Arabidopsis thaliana: one gene and its partner. The protein of the gene in region 1 interacts with the protein of each later gene in a biochemical or structural test. Each region holds a gene or a part of one and is shown on either strand. Other genes may lie near its edges.

Region 1 (9,225 bases):
GTTATCTGAGAAGAACTTTTCCTCGAAAATCTACTAAGAGAATCGAATTCGCTATCTTCAACGATTTTCAAATAAATAAGAAGAACTCACCTGTTATCTTGATTGAAAGAAACACAATAGATAGGAGAAGGAAGAGAGGACAGATTCGCCATGTCTCCCAAATTGTTTAAGCAGCTGTCTTAATGTTTTCTGCTTTTTATATATGTTCTGTTTTTCGTCTTCTTCTTCTCAAAACGCTGTCGTTTCTTCTCTTCTGTTACTTTTCAGAACGACGACGTTTTCGATTGAGTGGGATAAGCTTTGTTTGGTTTGTGATGAGAACTGAAAATGACACATGAGAGTCAAAGTTGGACAAAAGTCGCAACACATTAAGCTTAAAGGACCACAAACACAAAGCAGCAGCTTATGATAACTACAAAAGATAAATTCTCAGGAATTGTTTGATACGATTTTGAGTATGTGTGAGAGAGAGCAAATCAGATTCTGGTCAAAAGAAAAGACTCAAACAAATCAGTCTCATAGTTTCTTCCTTTGTCATCATCATAATGTTAAAGGAAGCAAAATAATCATAGAAACTCACAATTAAAAGTTAATATATACATCATCAACATAACGAACACATAATCTCAAACTGTAGAGATATTTTTCATCAATTTTCACCACCATATACATGTCTATATTATAAAAGTGTAGAGCTTTTTTCATTGGATTGTTTGATCCATCGTAAAAATGATATCTTTCTTTCATTGTGTTATCTTGGACCGGATAGTTCCATGGCAAAGGAATCTAAAGGCTGATGATCATCGTCATCATCGAAAGCCGAAGATCCAAACATTTGATAAGTTGGATCATTGCAATGTGCGTCAAGCCTTGAGACAGAAGTAGTAGACAGAGAAGAGATTGTCTTGAAAGAGATATTGGCATGGTAGAAATGTGAATGGTTATGCGAAGCAGCCCATCTCTCGGCTAATCCATCGCCTTCAAGCATCAAAACAACTTCAGACATTTTAGGACGATGAGCTGGCAGATATTGTGTGCATAGCAAAGCCACTTGCAACATCTCTCCAACTTCAATCTTATCGTAGTTAGTTCCGAGTTCTCGATCCAATAGTTCCTCTACTTTCATCTCTTCATGTAATTTCCTCACCTAAACCAATGTTACAACAGCATCCGGAGAAAATGTTAATTTGGTTGATCTTATGAAGTAATCAAGAAAGTGTACTTCTGAGTGTCATTTCTTACCCATTCAAGCATAGCTCCTTTCTGGCTAACGGTTTTACCAAACTCAAGAGCTCTCAGTCCGGTTATGAGCTCGAGCAATAGTATACCGAACCCAAACACATCGGTTTTCTCAGAAGACTGACCAGTGGAGAGATATTCAGGTGCAATGTGGCCAACCGTACCACGGACCGCAGTTGTGACATGAGAATCCGCATGGTTAAGGAGCTTTGCGAGTCCAAAGTCACCAACAACAGCTTCAAAGCACTCGTCTAAGAGAATATTAGCTGCCTTTACATCTCTATGAATGATCTTGGGATCACATTGCTCATGTAGATACAACAAACCTCTCGCTGCACCAATTGCTATCCTCTTCCTCATGTTCCAGTCCAATGCCGGTTTAGCTACAACAGTTAAACAAAATTGGTTAAAACTCATCGAAAATGAGATTTGGACTGATGGTTCAAGACATTATACTAACATTTAAGCTTAGAGGCGACGCTTCCATTAGGCATGTAAGGGTAAACAAGAAGCCTTTCACCAGAAGTTGCGCAATAACCAATTAACCGAAGCAGATTCTTATGAACAGCTAAGCTAATCATCTCTAGCTCCATACGAAACTGTGAATCCCCTGAGGTTCCATTAATATCCTTCAACCGTTTCACTGCCACCATTGTCCCATCTCCAAGCTTGCCTCTGTACACATTACCGAATCCACCAGCGCCGAGAATGTTCTTGGAACTGAAACCATCTGTATAAACATGGAGTTCTCTGAATGTGAAGCTTCTTAGATTCCCAAGTCCTTGAAGCCCTTCCTCTTGTTTATCTGCTAAAAGCAAAACTAAAAACTCAACATCTTCCTGAATCAAAGTTATATAAGCAACAAGCTCAAATCGACGAACCGTTTAAGTTAAGGATCAGTAGCCTTCTTTGTTTCTTTCGGTACCAACAAAAGGACCCGAGAGCAAGGACTAGTATAACAACAGAGCCAAGGCTTACACTAAGAGCTATTGCCAATCTATTAGACCTGCGTCCTACACACACACTCAAGTATTGATTAATGAAAGGATCATTACAATGATGAAAACACTGCAAGAACGAGACTTTTACCTGATGAAGAGCTCAAAGAAACAGAAAGTGGACTTGCATTGATTGATCCAGAACAAATCTCAGGTGGGTTGCTTCTACAAATCAAAGGATTACCAGCAACGCTACAAATTCAAAAGGAAAGCAGAAGCAAGACTTAGTCTTGACTTCAACTACAAGAATTTGTGAAATCACTTCAAATTTTGAAACTTAAGGTTTATTATACTTGAAAGTCCTTGCTGGGAATTTAGGAACAGGGCCACTGAGATTGTTGTAAGACAAGTCCCTGAGTTTCAAAAGAATTTAAATTTCAGACAAAAAAAAACAAAACACTTCAGTAGGTGAAAGGACAAATCTGTATACACTCACAAGAAGGAGAGGTGAGGAATTTGGGACAAAGAAGCAGGGAAGGGCCCAGACAAAGAGTTGTTGTTGAGTCTCCTATTGGAAATTCAATTCGTACGAGGTTATTAAGATGATTAATGAACCGATGAAAACAAATCATCATTACATTGTAAACAAGATTGAAGAACAGAGGAGAGAAGCAAAGCTAAGCTCACAGATATTGAAGGCTGCTTAGCTGGTCGATGGAAACAGGGATGTCACCGGAGAATCGGTTGTTGGAAAGATCCAAGGTTTGTAATTTGGGTAGAAAACCGAGCTCCGGTGGAATTTTGCCGGAGATGTTGTTATTTTGCAATGACCTTCAAACAAAGCAAAAAAATTGGAATTGAGAAACAAGCAAAAAAGACAAACTTTATATTATAGAAAACAAGATCCGAGGATGTCGTAATCTTACACTTGTCGGAGATTTGTGAGATTTCCGATAGACTCAGATAAACCTCCCGAGAGAGACTGGCTCGGCGCTCCTCTACCATTGAGAGATAGAGAGAGAAATTGTCGCCATTAATGAACTCTAAAAGCAGAAAACAAACTCGGAAGAAAAGAAAGCTCACAGTCCAATGACGAGGTTGTCGGGAGAGCAAGTGATCATAGCCCAGCTACAAGGATCAACTGAAAACTCGTCCCAATTGTTCAAAGCTCCATGAGGATCATGCAAATTGTTCCTTATACTTATCAACGCCTCAACTGTAAAAAAAAAAAAAAACGGATTTTTGTTATAGAGTTGAGAAAAAAGATCCAATTTTTAAACTAAAGTAACAATAAAAGAAGCAAATTTTACCTTCAGGGTTTCTGGGCTCAGAAGATAGAGTGAGAGTAGAGAAACAGAGGAACAAGAACGAGTAAAGGAGATGAATTTGAATCTTCATGGTCTTCTTTGTTACTACTACCATGGAAGATTTTAGTTACGAGAGGTTAACAATAATTTTGAAGAGAAGAGAGACAGCATTACTTTATTTTTTTTCGGGGTAGTGACCACAAACACACATAGAAAAAGAAGAGAAAGCAAAAGCAAACAAAGCAAAAAGAAGAAGAAGGAGAAGAGATCTCTGCTTTTTTATTTTGAAAACAAGAAAGAAAGAAATCTCGGGTTTAGTAAACAAGTCTTTACGTTCGTCTTCTTCTCAAACAAACAGTCTCTCTCAGAGGAGATGAGTTTGTTGCTGAGAAAAGGTTTAAGCCGAAAAACGTTTAAATGAGAGGGAGAGAGAGGCAAGAGAGTGACATTTGTAGAGAGTGAATCAGGGGATGCTGATACGGACTGTCGGACCCGGGATGGTGGATGCTGGTCTACTCCAGTCTCTCTCTCACTCTTTTTCTTTGTCTTTTTTGTTCTTCTTAATGCCAATTTTTTTGTATATTTGGAACCATATATGTTTTTCTAATTTAGTCTTAATAAGTCCGATTAATAGATATAAAACTAAATTAGACTAAATTACATATAAATTTTAAAACTAAATTAGACTAAGTTTTAAAACAGTACAAAAAATTTAATAGATGTAAAACGCAAAAAAAAAAAAAGCGGTATATAATTACGATACTTAGGGCCTGTTTGTTTCTTCATCCAGATGGATTATTTAGATGGAGATGAAAAATGATGTTTGCTTTTGACAATTTAAGAGACCATTTGGATGAATCAGTTGGATGATCCATCTCAATGATTTTTAAAAATTAAGCAAAATTATGAAACTCATTTGGATAGACTTGATAGGACCATTTGAATGGAGATGGTTTACTCAAAAACAACAAATGACAAATATACCCTCTTTTAATAATGTTAATTTTCTATAACTTTCTAATTTAATATAAAAATTTTAATTACATATTAAACCAAAAAAACATTCTAAGAATCATGAAATCGCGGACTATTATTTTACGTCAAAATTGTAAATTCATTTTCTCCGCAAAAACCATAAAATCATTTTTCTCGCCAAAACGTTAAATTCATACTTTCCCGCCAAAACCGCAAAATTTTGTTTTCCCGCGAAAACCGTAAAATTATTTTTTCCGCCAAAACCGCAAAATCATGTTTTCCCGCCAAAACCGTAAAATCATGTTTTCCCGCCAAAACCGTAAAATTATTTTTCCCGTCAAAACCGCAAAATCATGTTTTTCCGTCAAAACCGTAAAATCATGTTTTCCCGCCAAAACCGCAAAATTATGTTTTCCCGCTAAAACTGCAAAATTTTGTTTTCCCGCTAAAACCGCAAAATTTTGTTTTCCCGCCAAAACCGTAGAATCATTTTTCCCGCCAAAACCGTAAAATACTTTCATTTGTCAAAGTGAAAGCATGAGTATTTTAGTTATTTTTATCTAAATGAAAATGTGGATGAATTACAAAATAATCAAATAAAAAAATATTCATTTAAATGCATCATTTAGAAAAAATATCAAATAATCAAACAAACATATTCAAATAAACCATTCAAATGAATCATGTAAATGGATCATTAGAATGCAAATGCTAACTGATCAAACAAACAGGGCCTTAGTTAACAACTAAACCCAATATTTTTTGGTAATTTTTACCGGCATGATAGATCTATTATTTCTATTAAAATGGATTGGTTAAACGGTAAGCTAAACTATGATAAGAGCAAATGGTACAGAAGGGGTAAAAAAAAATTTACATAGAAGTTATATATAAAGATTTTTAAAAAGAAACATCTGCATATTGTACATGGACGATGAATTGACCAAAATCGACTTGGGTTTACATTCAATAATTTTCTAATTTTATTATGTGTAAAAAAATAATTTATATTTTATAAAACAAATTGGAGAACATTGATGTAATGTAGTAGGACTACCAGTGACAGGCTAGAGGACTGATGCACTCTAAAATAGCTTCATCCTCTTTCCTCTTTTGTCTTCTTCTCTAAAGAAATCCATCTTAATGAAAACAGTATTTCACCATAAGATGAAATTTGATATTTGATATCTCCCTACCTAAATTTGAACTTTAATGATAATGATATTTAATGATTCGCATATAAAGAAATTATTGTATAAATATGTCAAAACGAAACAACATGAGATAGTGATACGAAGAGAAACTTGCAACAAGTAACAAATGCCTGAAATAGGTGAATCCACACACTTGCCCTGATGAGGTTGTGTTGTTACATTATTTATGATAAGTCCCTATACTTTTGATTTCTTTCCTTTTTCGCCTTTCTAATTTCTTTGTCATTATTTTGGCCCACCTCCTCCTACTTTCGTATTAATTTAATTGAAGGGTCTAATAATTACATCTTTGTCTTTTTATCTTATTTTATTACTTTTCTATCTTTTTCCCTTTCAATCACATCTTACTTTACTGCAAGAACATTCATGACCCCCACGTTTCGAATGTATGTTTTTTGATAAAGTTTTCGGTAAATATGCTAGAAAATGAATTTAAGTTTTTGTTAAAATGTACTTACTAATAAATAATCAATCATGCATTGCCCATTTGCATCGTGCGTAACGGTGCACTCAAACTCGTAGTCAATAAGGAAAAGAAAAAGGTCTTGACTACAAAAAACAAGTGTTATTGGAAATTTTGTATGGCTTTTTATAAAGAAAATGAATCTTGTGTTCACCGAAAATGTTAGTGAATGACAACATTAAAATGTCACAAACCATAAAGAAGTACGGAGTTGAAAGTGGCAAAAAATGCCGAATTAGGTTGAGCAAGATGAGGTAAGCATCGAGATGCTTTGTAACCAATTACCTTGTTTTTTTATGTCACATTATATCAATGATCCATTTACATCATGCATGCATCTGTGTACTTTGTTTCACATATATATTACATAAATGCCCTAATTAACTTTCATAATATGTTATTCGCACACATGGTTTGATAAAACTTATGACAAAATCGTTTTTATTCACGGTCTATATATAAATGAAATCCTATTCTTACGGGAGAAAAATGTTGCATATTTCCCAAATAATTTAACATGACAGTTAGATTTATCGTGTGGCTATAACAATCCAACCGAATTTGTAAGACTTAAATTTTTTGATCTTCCACTAAAGTGGAGAAGATTGGATGATGGGACAAATCTCGCTGCAGATCAATAGTATAATGCGTTATTGGCATCTGTTCCAATATTCTTACAAAATTGAAGTATCATGTAAAGCATACGGAAAAAGGAGGAAATAATTAATGTTCATGAAAGGATTACAAAAGTAGAATCATCTTCCCAATAATTTGCACCACATACAAAGTTTGGATATTTTCCTCTCTAATTCTCTTAGTAAGGTTTTGTTTCATCTTACTGTTCCCAGGACCATATTCTGGATATGCACAAATTGCACCAATTATATATGCTATTCTCTTGAAGTCCTTTTGTTAATATTGTTTTTTGGTATCAGGGCCAAGTTTGTGTGACTAGCTCAATGTGTAGCAGAACATTATTGTTGTGCATCCTAGGCCCTAGCAATGGAGAATGAGTCATCAATCATATATTTAATTAGTGGAAGTTGAAGTACTTGATTTTAGCTTTTACTAAATATTGTGATAATTAATTGAATTTTACCAACTATGTGTGATTAACTGTTTCCAAATTCTTCATTTTGCCGTCTTATTTTTTTATCAACCGTACCATCTTCCCAATCTTGTGAATATCAGTATGAGCATCATCACAGCATGGGTTTTACGTGAGAAGTTAGTGAATTTACGTAAAAATGAAAACTTTTGTTTTGGTTTTTTAAATTTACGTAAAAAATGTAAATATATACTATAATATATTATTTTTGTTGGTCAAGATATAGTATAATATATTTAAACTGAAAAAAGGAGTAGAAAAGTTGAAGTTAAAGTAAAGGAAAAAAGAGAGAGAAAGGGGAAGGAAATCTTCGTCGGAGTGCGTTTATTCTCCTGCGATTTCCCATTGCTCATATGGTCGACCTGATTCTTCCACGTTCTATAATCTTTCTACTTCTTTAGGAGTATATTATACTCATAGACTTAAGCAACTGAGCATTGATACAAGAAAACTACATACTTAAGTAAGCATGTGTCAGGAATAAATTGAACTGACTGCTTTAGTGGGTTAGTAGTTACTAGTTACAATCTTTTTTCTTAATATAAAGATGAAAAGGACAAATGGAGTACATACCTAGGATTTGAACTTGTGTATATTTTATAGATTTTGTACCAAAAGGTAATTTTAGATTTTACTTCACTTCATATTTTTCCTACCTTAAAAATCCTGAAAAGAAAATTCATACTGAAGACATTATTGAACACAATTATAATAATTTTGTTAACTAATAGTCTAATACCAAAAAAGAAATGACATAAAGGACACAAGAAACAAATAACAGAGAATTTGAAACCAAAATGAATATAAGTGTAGAACAAAAAAGGGAAATAAACTATTATTTCAAAATAAGGGTGATCCAGTAAAGTGTAGACCAATCCCGGACCTAAATTCCAATCTTTTTTTTTTTTTACAGCAAATTCCAATCATTTCAAATTGTCTAAAAATTTGTATGTAAAAACCACTTTAAAATCATTAACAAAATGGACCATTTGACAAAATAATGGACATAATGCATTGTTAAAACTAAAACCTAATCGGATGAGGAAGAGGGGCTCATGGGATAACAGGCCCAAAATCTGAGCCCAATCAACAACATCGTTTGAGAAAAATCTTTGTTCTATCCCATGAGCTCAATTTCTTCGTGTATCCTAATCCCTAAATCCTTAACCACCACAATGAAACAAAACATATGGTATTGATATTTTAATATGAAATCAATTTTCTGTGTTGTTATCGATTCATTAGTGCTTTCACATAAATATCCAGGTGTTGAATTGGTCCAAACCAATGCAAGTGACAAAGAACATTATATCTACCAACAACGAGGTTTCTTGTTCATAGTTCATACTAATCGTACATGTGTTTCTTTATCAACAACATTCGCTTACATCGCAAGAGATCTAAGTAACGGTATATGTACATTATTATCTACCTCGCTATATAGCTTTTGTTCGTGGGAAATTTCAATATATATGACATCTGTTTAACTAGTAAATGGTTGATACACGAAGACCCATGTGAAAATGACATTTTTTGTTTTGGGCTTCGAGAACACAAGAAACCCCACAAGGGGAGAGGGAATTCAAGATACTTCACTTTTCCCAAGAATATTGTAGCAAAAACCTAAAATACTAATTGTAGTTAAATATTTTTAAACGATACTACAAAATAAATTAGCAAGAAAATTCACATATAGCATCATGGTTAGGCTTACATTGATTTTGAGCTTGCTGCCAGAACAGTCATTTTTCTTGCATTGTACACTCTACCTCACTTTCTCTCTTCTAAATCTTTTTATTTTTGCTCACTTTAATTGCATCATTTAAACGTTTTTTAATCAAGCATGTACTGATTAGCAATAATCGACTAATGTACGTAGTGACTGAGAATAACCGTGAATAGTTTAACATATTGGTACATTTCCCTAATTTATTACAAAAACATAAAAAAAATCAAGCTATCCGATTTGGTGAAAGGCACA
Region 2 (7,868 bases), on another chromosome or scaffold:
TCAGACCCGGATTGTAAGCAAGTTTAAATAGACAATATTGCCCCTTATTTCGGATGCTTAATGTATCGGACTATAATTTAGATCCGATCCGGCCCATAAGAATCAAGTTTTAATCTGACTATATTACCCTTCGTGTCGAAGGGCTTTAAAAGTCCCCGAGACTCGACGGTTCGACTCTAACCCTACAATAGTCTTCTGCTAAAATCGCGAAAGAGATATCTTACGAATCTCCACAAGTGCGAATTTCGAACGGAGCTACGATTCCATGGCGACCAACGGAGAGAAGGTCACGGCTACGGTGGTGAATGGCGGAGGGCTATCTACTGGTGAAAACCCTAAGAAAATTGTAGACCTCAACACTACGGAGTTAGATCGTACTGACGACATTCTCGACGGAGAAGTCAAGGGATTTTCAGATTCTGGTGAAAAGAAGGAAGAAACCGACTCTAATGGTATTGGATCGACGGCTGGTGTTGATTCTGGGGATATCTCTCCGGTCGATGATATCCAGAAGAAGATTCGACGTGCTGAGAGGTTTGGTGTTTCGGTGAAATTGACCGAAGAGGAGAAGCGCAATTCTCGTGCTGAGAGGTAAAGACTTTAATATTTATTCGTTAGATTCCGTCGAATTTAGGGGTTTCGAAAATTAGGGTTACGGAATTTTTTATACTTATTGTCAAACCTATGTTGTAAGGAATTTCACCTTCGGTGCAGGTTTGGTACTGTAGCTGCAGCAGTGGTGAATGGCTCAGAGGGAACGAAGAAAGCAGAGGAATTGAAGCGAAAAGCAAGAGCTGATAGGTATGTCACAATACTTTCTTTGTACTTGATAGTTGTTTATTGGTTGGGTTTAGAGAAAAAGGAGTTTCATACTCGCTTTGTATTTTGAACAGATTTGGGGTTCCTTCTGCGACCTCTACTACTGATAAGACTGAGGAAGAGGCAAAGAAGAAAGCTAGGCTCGCTCGTTTTGGAAAAGAGACTAAAGTTGATTCTGCTGAAGAAAATAAGCGCAAAGCTAGAGCATTGAGGTACTTTTTCTATGCAACCTCAAATTCTTCTAGTCCCTGAGAACTGAAGTACTGTGCCATGCTTTCTAATTATTGATTTTTGTGGTTTGTGAATTTCCCATCATTAGGTTTTCAAAAGAGGCTTCAGCAGATGCATCTTCAGATTTACCTGAGAAGCAAATTATTGGCAAGGTAAACAGTCTTTTAACTTCTGTTGTGTCGTCCATCTGATAGAATGAGAGAATTGATAGAAAAGCTAATGATATCTCTTGTTGAACTCTTTGTTTCATCAGGAGGCAGCTGTATCAGGAAGCGCTGCCTAAGGTTCCTCAATAAAGTTTTTCCGTCTTTGTAGTTAGGTGAGTTTTTCCAGATAATTCTTATTGCATTGCAAACTCTTGTTGATACGATTTTTTCTCGTATTTGACTCCATAATCTGTTATATGGGCAGGTAGTGTGCTAGCGTTTTATGAGTCCCTCTCTGGCTGCTTCATTCTCTCTTTATTTCTGAATTAGAAGTCCATGTGTGTAGTATCTTTACTAAGTTCGGTCGTGGAGCAATCACCAGATGAGATCTTGAGAAACCAATAAGTAACCTATAGTTCTGATTGTCTGAAATGACAATTATCAATGTGTTTAGGACCTAGGAATTCTGAAGTGGCTGGTATTGATGTTTTCCATGTTGCAGGTTCTTGGAGTGGTAAGTATAGTTTGATTAATAACTTTATTTCGTTTTAATATATTGGAATGTGGATGGTCCTTTTAGTATTGCATGTTCGTATCAAGCACAAGCACCAGCAATTGAAAATTTGTACTGCATGCAGCAAATATTTAAGTAAGGGAGACATTTTTTTACTGTTTTGAACTAGTTAGAAATTAGAAGTGTTGATTACTTTTGAGTTGTGCCTATTTTGCTAGTTTTTCTTAGTCTTGGTTACGAAATTTAGCTGGTCTACTGGTGTTCTGTGCTTGATTGCGAATATTGCATGCAAAATGGATCCCATAAACATGTGTCGTTCTTAGGTTACTTAATTTCATATGACCTCTCAAGCCGCTACTTCAGAATTTCTTTGTCATGTAAGACATCATTAGAACTATAGATGTACTTGTTGGTTTCCATATCTCTGGTCTCTATGGCAGTTGAAGGAAAGAGAGCCTCAGATTCTAAATTCTCTGTTCGTGGGACTGCGTTTTTGCTGGCTTCTGATGCTACACAGTTTCTTTGTTTCTGTAATAGATTTTAGATAAACTTTTGTTGATACTTGCTTTCTGTTAATTTTGAATGAAGCGCCAGAAAACTTTTATAAAGGGAATGTAATGTTAAGTTTCAACACATTTCTTGGCTATCTACTGTTTTGTGCCTAAACTCCAATATGTTGCAACGCTTTCGAATTTTACCAGCGTTGACATTGATGATATTGCATGCAAGTACCCTCGTGTATAATTTTGCATACAGGGGTACATGAGAATTCATGTTTTCTTGTGGAGAACATATCAAAGATCTCATAACTTAATATTGTTTCTAGCTATACTACTAGTTCTTTTCTTGACCCTGGCTCCAATTTATTGCCCTTGACACAGGAAGTGTTTTTGCCGTAAGATCTGTTCATGATGTTGAATGCATCGGGTATCCCCCTCTAATTGACAGAGGTGAAGCCCAAGAATTGGTTTTGACCGGGTGGGGGTTGAGATAGACCACAATAACGGTTATATCGTCGTGGAAATGCCTTCTTACACCAGGATGGATCTCTGTTAGGTCTGAGTATCTCATCTCTCTTTTCTTTGCTGCTTCCTTCAATGCAGCTTTAAGTAGTCTCCTTGCTATTCCCTGTGATTGTGAAGGTATTAGTATTAACGAATAGTTCTTGGTGTGCATTGTGCTAGTATGTAACGTATTTGTATATGGGTTAGGCATTGAACTTACTTGTCGAGGGGAATTATGCACAATATCAACAGCTTCCTGGTTGCTAAGATGCTCCCAAAGCCCATCTGAAGCAAGAATTATAAACTCATCTTGTGGGCTAAGCCGCGTAATGGTGACTGATGGATCCGCACTAAGGATTGGCTTAGTGAAATGTTCTGGTAGTCTGAATTTGGGCAGCAAAGGTTCTCTGTTGAACTCTGCTCTTTTGAGGTATGCATCACCTATGGATCTTGTGACCTGGTTAAAGGTCATAACACATTTGCTAGTCAGTTTTACATCCTTACACAAGATAGGCTTCAATATATGATTTTCTTAAGCTTTTGTATTTCATAGAAACTGATGAAGCAAAACTCTGTGCAGGTTATCAGATGCGTTATCATGTATGAATGTTTACCTGGATAACGCCTTTCACACGCCACAAGCGGTGCTTCATCACAAGAATGGTGGGGTCATTAGGATGCAATGACCATAGCTCTTGCCTCGCAGACTCAAGATTGGCATTGTGCTCTACAGATAACTGAACAGCTCTCACTCCACCTCTCTCAGATCTGCCCAACACAGCTCTGGAATCTCCCGTGTTTGCAATATACACCAATCCGTTGCATATCACTCCTGCCAAGCAACATGACCCCACTGATGCCATCTGTGGGTTCGTAGGCCATTGCTTCGTCACTGTCTTGAGAAAATCTTTGTCTGTCTCGGCAAATGCTTTGCTGATCACCTGCTCTGAAATCTCCCTACCCTCGGACGCAAACTCTGTTCATGTGAGACCAGTGTTAGTGTGCCTGGCAGATTCAACAATAAAGGAAATAAAAAAAGTCGGTGTCTTACTCTTTAACTTGGGGAAGATGTTGTCTGCAATGAATCTGGAAGCCTCTGGACCTCCATGGCCATCGTAAACTCCAACAAATGTGCCTTGAACTGTCGGATTGTTGAATGTAAGCGGCCCTGATTCGATCTGGCACTGATCCTCCATCACACTGTTGGCTTGGATCATTGCCATGGAAAACTCTCCAAAGGTGTGAAGACCAAGATCTTTGTACCATGTCAAACCATCAACCTTTGTGGGATTGATCTTACTTCTCTCCATACCGGCACCTATTCTCCAACAGGGTTTAACCATCTTTCTCAGGTATGTAATCTTCGAGCAATATCGTAATATAAACAGAGAAGAACTCTATATAGAATAAATTGATGGAATAATGATAAACTAGTAGTAGCAGTGCTGGTTGTGAATTATGAGATACAAGTTTAAGGAAGGGACCATATATATATAGCCGTGGAAGCCCTAGAGTAAGTGTGAAGGTGTTGGAAAGCAGGGAAAGAGGCCAAAAAGGGTATGGGTCAAAATAACTGAAAAATTAAATGGTTCTGAGAGTTAAGACAAGAGGGCAGTAGTTTAAAGTGGATATTCAGAGATTCTCCTCTTTACTGTTCGATGATGATTCTCTGTCTTAGTAGGGCTGTCATATTCTTTTCTACTCTCTCCTATATTTATAACATCATGTAGTTATTATTGCGTTAAAAGTGTCTCTCCTTTCTTAGAGGTTAATAATCTTGTAAAAACTTAGGAAGCAAGAATGTTCTCATTATATGATTAATGACTTCTTAGAGGTAACAATATCTCATGTAAACGTCTGTTTTCACATTGGTTGTGTGTTAGTGTCTTTATTAACTCATCTTGTAAATGAGTTTTTGGCTTTTGTTTGCAAAGTGGTAATTTGTGGGAAGAAAATGGATAGAAAAGGAAAGGTCATAGGATGCATGTGTGGGCGTGGGTTTTGGGAGCATTGAACTTGGAACCATTTAAAGATTTGAGAGCTGAGAAAGACTGAAGAGAGAGGAGAGAAGACATTTGTGGGGCGACTGAGGAACACTCTTAGCTGTCTTAACCCCTACAGGTCTTTGCCCTTTTCTCAGTCTCTCGTCTTTCTTTTTTTTACCTTTTTCTTTAATGTTATCAAAAGCTGATCTCTTACTTGTTGTGAGATTCAGATCGAAATTCATGTCATGGATAATTATGGGGCTGAAATGAATTTTCAAAGAGGATGGATCTTTTTGGTACTTTTGCTAAGTTCCATTTTGCATGACCCCTCATTGGCCTTCCTCTGTCCCTCCTCGTTTTTTCTGTTCATAAGGATCCACCGATTTGATGCTACTGTAGAGAGAACCACTGTCGTGTGTTGATAGACCAATTTCATCAACGAGATTGTTTAAATTTCTATATGTTATCTAATGCATATGTCGAAGTTAGATCGAGTTTTCGTTTTTCGTCTATCTTTTTGTTGTGCTTCGAAGTTAAGAATTCAACAAGTGGGTTACACAACTTCCACTTCCACTTGTTTTTTTTAATGATAATAATCTCTTGAGACAAAAACATGTTAGGCTCCCTAATTCGATCTTTTAAAACAAGAAAAAACACACACACAATGATTTATAGTGGTTTACTTTAAATATCAAAATTACGTTATCCTTTTGTTTTTGTTTCTTCTAGCTCACGAGTCACAAACAATGAGAAATGATAACAATGATTCAAATAAGGAATACAAGTGGATCCGCAACTTAGGCTCCACAAATATAATAAACGGATTAAAAGATACCAAAAAAAGAATTTTCGTATTGGATGCATATAATTTAGGTTTAACCAATTGTTATATTGATATTGGATTTACTTCTACTTGCTTATTAATTTTGTTGAAAGGTCTTTCATTCATTTCTTATATTTGGTTTCGCATATGACGGTTCCACTAGTTCGATAAGGCCAACCTCATCAATTGGTGTGACTTGACGCATAATTTGGTAAAAAGTTTGATGCAATATATAGATCTAATTGAAGTCAAATCAAAAGAGTAAGAAAATCACGTGTAAGATAGTCTAATACAAATAGAAAGAATGGTCCAGGTACATTTTATCTTAACATATATTCACAAATAACTTTCATAAATATTGAACCATTTTGTGAGAATCACATGTGGCCTTGGAACGTATTGAAGGGTCCTTGAATGCACCATTACAGTACATACAGTGTATTTTCATGTGCTCTCTATCCTTAATTAATTTCCTATCCTTATTACGAAAAAAATTGAACAACTTCAGTCTCGATCGTTTTGATTTAAAAAGATAACAAGAAAGAAGAATAAATAAATATTATAGAATAGAAAACAAAACAAGTTCCTATATCAAAAAAAAAAAGAGTTGTGGTGACAGCTGGGCCATTGATGCACTGTGTTTTGTCTTTTGGTTGAGGGAGCATGGATGTCAGTCTATCTCTTTAGCTTCTTACTTCTTACTTATTAGCTTTGTTTTCTCTTTTGTATTGTTTAATATTTAGCTTACCATTGGTGTTTTTATTCAACATTCATTAACTTACTTCTTTAGTAACTATATGTCTTTATCTATATTAAGGTTTATCTTCGATAGAAAGGTCAATTTGGTATTCGATATCACACTATAATCTGAAGTTAAAATGTCTCGGGTTGTCTTGTTTTTTCATATAGAGAAATACCAATATCAAAACACTTTCAATATTAATGTATATGATAGATATGTAAATGATTGATTATGGAGTTACTTCAGTATCTGCGATATCCATGGTTGGAATTGCTTCTACAAAGTTTACATCGCATGCATCGATGCAAGTATAAGACAAACCTCCTCAGAAAGAAATAAAACAAATCGAATAATATGGTTTTATCAATTAATAAGAAAATTGAATGCACTCGCATCGACACTGTCTCTAATTTGAAAACTGATGTTATCAACTACAGTATTTAATTTGGAGTAAAATATAAACGAGCATTTAAGTACATCTCATCTTTCGAGAAACCTAGGTTACAAGTAAACTGAACCTACCTTTAAGAAAAGGAATCTTTAAACGCTAATTATATGTGTTTAAGCGTACCGATATATAAGAAAACAGATCCAATTTAGCCTAACATTTTCTTTAGGTTTGATTGATCACAAATAAGAAAATGAATAAAAGTGGAGACGTGGGCACGTAGAGTAGACGAGAGTAAATAGAATGCATGGCATGCAGGAAACATGAGACAGACATCGTGAAGGTCCCATATTGTCTGGTCGATCCAAACCTTGACATATTATCACAACACTATCTATCTAGTAACTAGTGTTCTTCGTATTGTCGTAGTACTTTATCAATTATCATCTCATCACATTGCAATTAACTAAAATTTTTATATAATATTAGATTTTGATTTTGTTATCTAGCTAGTTGCAATTGTATCTGGACGTACTATTATCACTTTGATTTTGTACCTTTCATTAGATCTCTCATCTTAGCTTGCAACTTAGTATCCATCATCATTATTTTCTGCAATTTAAAAAAATATTTTCTATGTACATGTAGTTAATACATTAGAATTTTATTTATAGCTCATACCCCAAAAACTACGCACATATTACATATGTATATTATATTAATTATTAACAGTAAGCTACATAAAATTTGTGGATTTGCGAATTAGACCAACCGTTATTACGTTAATAACAATATTGGAACTTTGTTTTCAAAACAAGAGAATATATCATCGAATCCACTGTCAAAACATACAAATTATCGAAGTAGCTATACTTCGACAGTTTGATCTGCGTTCACCAGGAATCACTTGTTTTAATCGCGTATTTTCATTTTGACGAGCGCAATTTTTACGTGCAAGTGTGCAACTATTAGTTGGTTCTCATCAAGATTCAAGACATTTCTATTTATCTCAAAACCTTCGATGGTAGTTTGATAGATATGTTGATGATTTGTTCAATTATTTGTTGAGAAAAATACTCTTCGAATCTTATATAATATTATTAATATTAGAATATTTATCTTCTTTTGTTTTTCTTCGTGACTTTCCAGTTTTCACGATAGAATAGATGCACATGACTTTTTGATCAACACTATTTAATTGATTGATTTGATCAAA

The links.
Region 2: of the proteins of SARK (region 1) and AT5G02760, one has a biochemical effect on the other in vitro, tested with the Arabidopsis thaliana proteins (one study listed by BioGRID).

What each region holds. Positions count from the first base shown.
Region 1 is NC_003075.7:14,907,442-14,916,666, forward strand, and holds SARK (Leucine-rich repeat protein kinase family protein), read right to left. Parts: upstream 4,006-9,225; 5' UTR 3,600-4,005; coding exon 3,488-3,599; intron 3,394-3,487; coding exon 3,261-3,393; intron 3,176-3,260; coding exon 3,104-3,175; intron 3,009-3,103; coding exon 2,865-3,008; intron 2,746-2,864; coding exon 2,674-2,745; intron 2,591-2,673; coding exon 2,531-2,590; intron 2,430-2,530; coding exon 2,329-2,429; intron 2,253-2,328; coding exon 2,121-2,252; intron 2,045-2,120; coding exon 1,700-2,044; intron 1,623-1,699; coding exon 1,243-1,622; intron 1,148-1,242; coding exon 752-1,147; 3' UTR 501-751; downstream 1-500. Other genes in the region: ATG18B (autophagy 18 B-like protein), read right to left, coding at 91-152.
Region 2 is NC_003076.8:621,566-629,433, reverse strand, and holds AT5G02760 (Protein phosphatase 2C family protein), read right to left. Parts: upstream 4,181-7,868; 5' UTR 4,058-4,180; coding exon 3,766-4,057; intron 3,691-3,765; coding exon 3,329-3,690; intron 3,172-3,328; coding exon 2,935-3,171; intron 2,839-2,934; coding exon 2,617-2,838; 3' UTR 2,310-2,616; downstream 1-2,309. Other genes in the region: MOS11 (Protein MODIFIER OF SNC1 11), read left to right, coding at 266-591, 715-801, 894-1,031, 1,139-1,202, 1,304-1,333. UniProt on the Arabidopsis thaliana protein: Dephosphorylates and represses plasma membrane H(+)-ATPases (PM H(+)-ATPases, e.g. AHA1 and AHA2), thus influencing negatively plant growth and fitness. Promotes the apical hook maintenance of etiolated seedlings.